Linked DNA regions of Tribolium castaneum. The protein of the gene in region 1 interacts with the protein of each later gene in a pairwise test. Links are inferred from orthologs where the notes say so. Each region holds a gene or a part of one and is shown on either strand. Other genes may lie near its edges.

The links.
Region 2: the proteins of Su(dx) (region 1) and Ubc10 interact in binary tests that used the Caenorhabditis elegans proteins (3 or more experiments, as listed by UniProt). The link is inferred for Tribolium castaneum from reciprocal best matches to the Caenorhabditis elegans genes wwp-1 and ubc-18.

The regions. Positions count from the first base shown.
Region 1 is NC_087398.1:5,358,352-5,360,845, forward strand, and holds the end of Su(dx) (E3 ubiquitin-protein ligase Su(dx)), read right to left. Parts: coding exon 2,340-2,494; intron 2,289-2,339; coding exon 1,454-2,288; intron 1,403-1,453; coding exon 1,133-1,402; 3' UTR 674-1,132; downstream 1-673. Other genes in the region: HCLS1-associated protein X-1, read left to right, coding at 1-89, 146-263, 319-561. UniProt on the Caenorhabditis elegans protein: E3 ubiquitin-protein ligase which accepts ubiquitin from an E2 ubiquitin-conjugating enzyme in the form of a thioester and then directly transfers the ubiquitin to targeted substrates. Ubiquitinates klf-1.
Region 2 is NC_087401.1:17,188,574-17,191,506, forward strand, and holds Ubc10 (ubiquitin-conjugating enzyme E2 L3), read left to right. Parts: upstream 1-1,578; 5' UTR 1,579-1,693; coding exon 1,694-1,720; intron 1,721-1,769; coding exon 1,770-1,865; intron 1,866-1,909; coding exon 1,910-2,251; 3' UTR 2,252-2,405; downstream 2,406-2,933. Other genes in the region: structure-specific endonuclease subunit slx1, read right to left, coding at 648-977, 1,027-1,212, 1,264-1,315, 1,360-1,517. UniProt on the Caenorhabditis elegans protein: Ubiquitin-conjugating enzyme E2. Accepts ubiquitin from the E1 complex and catalyzes its covalent attachment to other proteins. Required for diet restriction-mediated lifespan extension, probably acting as part of a complex with ubiquitin-protein ligase wwp-1.

The DNA.
Region 1 (2,494 bases):
GGGACTTTAAGGGATCAATTCCTCAAACCTGGGTTTGAGAAACCCAAGGAGAGAATTGAAGAGAAAAGAGATGAAGACATTGACGGCAGGTATACGATAAAATTTTTGTTTGTTTTGTTTTAATCCGTTGAAAAATTTACTTTAGGTTGGATATAAGGGATTGGGGATCGGTTTTTAAGGGTGAAAATTCTCAAACGCCAGTACCGAGGACACGCTTTTTTGGCCAAAGTGTTACCTCCAAAACTGTTAGGAATCCAGATGGGGTACGGTTGCGTGTTATGATTTTAAAAATTTAATATCAATCTATTCATATTTTAGTCTATTGAAACGCATCATACTGTGAGGGATAACGAGGGTAATGAAGAAACGACCATCACGCGAAAAGTAGCTGATAAAGAATATACCATTACAAAACGTAGAGATAAAGAAGGTAAAGAAGAAATTATTGAAAATCTGGTAAACTTAGATGAGAATGAGAAGGATAAATTTTTCCCGCAACAAAGGAAACTTCCGGAATTGGGTAACAAACCTTGGCCGTTTTTTGACCAGTTTTTTAAATAATTGAATTGTAAAGTATGAAAATAGAAAAATTTATTTATTGATATATTCTGGACACGTAAGCAAGCATTAAAAACAGAAACGTTGTTGAGGTCGTTTTAAGAAATAAAACAACTTGTTTTACTTGTAATAATTTAATAATTCGCTTCGCATATTTATATACATTTCCTCACTTTACAATATTCTACAAGTGATTATAAAGTAAACAGGTTGTAAATGAAATTTCAAGCCAGTTCGGTTCCAGTCAGTGTATACTTTGGTTAAAAATAAAATTAAAAAAATAATTATGATAGTGCACACCCACGATGGAATGTCATTTTTCGTATTCAAAAATATGTAGTCTTCCCCACATTATTTTCTCTTCAAAAAGTATTTACATTTAGTTATAATCTGTTAGATAAGCTAGAAAATAGGCCAATATTTCTACATATCACATTGAAATACAATCCGACCGAAGTAACAACACAAACAAACTAACAAAAATTGCACAAGCACTGCAAGAAGAGGCCCAAAGAAACGAAATCTCAAACCATGGTCAAGAATCAGGTACGGCTGTTATTACACAATTGAAACTTTACTCCTGACCAAACGTATCAGTCTCTTCAATCGCGTAAGTCAACTTTTCCACCAACTGTTCGTAACTTTTGTACGGCGGCAGATCAAGACGATTGAAACACGTGTGCGAGCGCGGCAACCACGACTCCTTCCCCACCTTTTCAATGCAGAACTTTTGGGGCCCGTTGGAACCCATCAGTTCGGCGAAGCCGCCCACAGGCACACGACACGTCCCTGTCACAAACTGCAGCAAGCGGGCCCGCTTCTCATTATCAGACTGACGCACAAACTAGAAGAAAGAAAAAATAGAAGTGGTTTACAACGTGGTTTTAATACAAACCTGCCAAAACCACACCACCGGCTTGCTACTTCGCGTGTAGTGCCTGTAGATAGTGTGTCGTTGCCAATCGTCCACGTCTATCTCCTGCATGCCACAGAGCAGCAGCTCCAACTCCCTCTCGTCGAAATACTTCAGCCACTCAATGGGCACAACTTCGTTAAAACCGTCCAAAAAGGCTTGAGTTTGCTGCTCGATGCCTCTTGTCATCCTCCACTCGGTCATTAACGTCAAATACTCCTCTTTATTTTCTTCCGTAACTTTTTCCTTATCGCCGTTTTTCTTCAACTCATGGTGCACCACTTGGCCCAAAACTTCGAAATCGACGCTATAGTACAACTCCAAGCCACACTCATCGATGTTGTTCTCCTTGATCCACACCAGCGAATTGTAGAATTCGGGATCTATACTTTCAATATCTTTCATCACAAGTTTCTTCCCCAGCATCCGCTTGTAGAAGGGCATTGTGAAACCCGAATAAATAAATCTCCCGTGGTACAAAGCCATGGCGATAAAGCGCCCAATAAATTTGAAGTAAGTGAGGTGTTCGGGGTTCACATACGACGCAGGGTTGATTTGTAGACTGTAGTTGTTTTTGTTTGCGTACTCGAAGAGACAATACATCGGGTTTAGGGCTTCGTGCGAGACTAAGAAAAACCACTCGCGACTCACACCGCCGTAGTCTAGCCCTTCTTCGCCTTTGAAGATGATGTAGAGGCGCCTTCGGAGCTCGTACGCCGGTAGGCGCATTATCGTGTGGAAGGAGTCCTCAAAGAGGGTCTGACGCGACACTTGGATTTTTATGTGGCTGGGGAGGGCGTTGCTCTGACACAGGAACCTGAAAGGAAAATTTTGTTAGCTTCGCATTTTATTTTTATCAAACAATTACCTAAACTGGCTAATCTTCCACTTGAACGACCTCTCGTACGCCCTCGGCACCCCATACACCCCCTTGGGCCCTTTGGGCGCCCCCGGCCTGGGATCATCAAACGTTGTAGTCTTCGTATTATGATCGACAAAATATCGCTTCCCCTCGTCCGTATA
Region 2 (2,933 bases), on another chromosome or scaffold:
AGATTTTGGAACGAACCGGTTTGATTTACGGCCTCGTCTGCCAACACCAGCGCTCGGTGGGCGCGGCCAAGTCCGAAGCCCCTCCCCGTACACTCCCCGACCGATTTGGTGGAAATAATCTCATTAATCAAAAAGTGAAATAAAATCGTTTTGAACTTTTTCCTCCGTTTGATTATTTGCCGGAAGAAGACGAAAAACGGAAATTTCTCGCCGGTTTTAATGAAAAACTCCCAACTTATTCACATATGGTAGCAGTAAAAATAATTCAGAGGTGATGAAACGCAAACGCGAGCGTTTCCTTCCATTTATAATATGTCTGTCAGTGCTCTGACCCAGCCTGCGACCTCTGTCACCACATTCATCCACAAAATGCATAAATAAATGCCGACAATTTATTAAAATAAAACAATTTTTTGCAAAAATTACAAATTTATTCAACATTTTTCTTTTTGTACAAACAATTAATCATGTCGTCTTGTCAAGTGGGTCTAGGAAAAAAAAACAAAAAAAATCACCAAAATATATATTTGTAATAATAATAATAATAATAAGTTGTAATGAAATGGCCATTAACGGCACGTTTGCCAGTGTTGCCAACTTTGTAATCGTGGTAAAAGTCGGTATAATTTAAATTAGAATTGAGCAATTTATTCACAATCCCCTAAGTTGGTGATTTCCACGTCCTGGTTGTGGTAGCCCTTAAACCTGCGGACTAAATCCCCCCAAAGACAGGGTTGGCAACACTTGGGGCACCGCCCCTCCACCGGCACGTAGTCGCCCCCTTTGAGAAAACACTTGGACAAACAAATAACATGAGCGTTTAAATCGCACTCAAAATTCAAACACTTCATTCCATTAAAAACCTCATCATTACACAAATAACAAAAATTCGTTTCGTGCGATAGTGTGACAACACTTGGGATTTTTTTACTAATAACTGGGCCGTAACAAATTGGCATATGGTCCGGTGGCTTTTTCTACAAAAAAAAAAACGACAAGTTTTTACAAATTTTTGGCAATTTTTACCTCTAGATCGCGTCTGAATTCATCATTGAGCCAGCGAATCGTCAGCGGGAGCCTTTTCCAAGGCCCCACTTGCAACATTTCGCTTAAAACCCTAATCGTAAAATCGTAAACTTTTTCTTTGGTATTTTTTTTCGAAACGTGCGCCAAACGGCGCGAAACGTGCGGGTGTTGCCACGCCCACTCAAACTAGAACAAAAAAACCCTAGATTTGAAACCAAATCAACGTCCGATTTTTACTCTTAGAGCCGAGATATTGTTCGGAAAGCCGTGAATTATCAAAACCATCGACCTGAAAGTGTTATACAGGGCCGGTGTGTGGCGTTTTGTACCTACCAGGGCCCCTTTTGACTGGTCTTCCAGGCGCCACCGTGTTGCTTCCCGCGGTTGTGCTGCTTGATGCGGCGGTTGGGGTCCACCGTGTAGCCGATGTAGACGCGCCCCTTGTACTTGGGGTTGGTGCAATAGAGCAGATAAACCCCGAAAAAGTGCATTTTCGAGGTTAAGTTCCTAGGGAATTTGGCGGTGTGCGTGCACACTTGACTGTCACCCCACCTCACCTGTCAAATTTCAGTGTGTAATGGGTGATTAAAAATTGCTTTTTCCCAACAATTCAAGTGCTTTTTTTGATATTATTACGTTTCCGGTCGTTTTGGACTAAATCCGCGACATGGCGGCCACGCGAAGACTGCAAAAAGTGGGTATTTTCCGGGCGAGATTCCGGGCTCATTCTGTATTTTTGCTAGGAGTTGGGGGACATCCGGAACTCCGGGCTGAAGTCGTTCCGGGACATTCAGGTCGACGAGACGAACATTTTGACATGGCAGGGGCTCATAGTTCCGGTAAGTGTGCGAGGCTTCGCCCCCAGCTCACGGCGCGGTTTTAGGACAACCCCCCGTACAACAAGGGCGCGTTTAAGATAGAGATCAACTTTCCGGCCGAGTACCCCTTCAAGCCCCCCAAAATCACCTTCAAGACGAAAATCTACCACCCGAACATCGACGAAAAGGGGCAAGTGTGCCTCCCGATCATCAGCGCTGAGAACTGGAAGCCGGCCACCAAAACCGATCAAGTGATCCAAGCCCTGGTGGCGCTGGTCAACGAGCCCGAGCCCGAGCACCCCCTCAGGGCCGATCTGGCCGAGGAATACATCAAAGACAAGAAGAAGTTCACCAAAAACGCCGAGGAGTTCACGAAGAAACACAGCGAAAAGAGACCGACGGACTAGTGGGGCGATTACACCAACTGTGATTTTACGAATTTTTTTTCTACCACGCTCGAGGGGGCCCTTTATTTTATTTTTAAGTGAGTGGACTAAATCGTGGGATAGATTATTTAATTCGCTTATGTAACATAATCAATAAAGAAGTACTTTCATCCAACTTGAGCCCCCATTTTTTTTGTGGGGTTACGGCCCCAAAATCACCACAAATCCCCAAAAACACGATCGTTACGTTGCTTTCTGGCCTAATTTGGACGCCAAATCGTACCAAACGCCCACAATTGCTAAATAAAACGCTTGGTTTTTGTGAGGTTAGGTTGCCCAAAGTTGGGCCAAACACACCAAAACTAGTTCTAGTTAAGTACAATCGGCACACATCAATTAATTGCGGCGCCAAAGTCATCTTTTGCCCAATTATAATTCAAATGCCCAGTTTTAAACACTTGAAATGTTTTTTGAGGTTAGGCCACAAAAATGGGTTAATTCAACCAAACGGTGTGCTTATTTTTCCAATGCGGGCCTCTCTACTCATTTGTAATTATTAAAGTGCGATTTTGTTGAGTTGTGACCCAATTATGATAGTTTCAAGGGAATTGCAAAAAGTGAGGTTATGTAACACCGGACGAGGTTTGGGGGAAATAACTGTGTGAATAAAACACGTTTATTTATTCGTATCAGGACTCGCTTG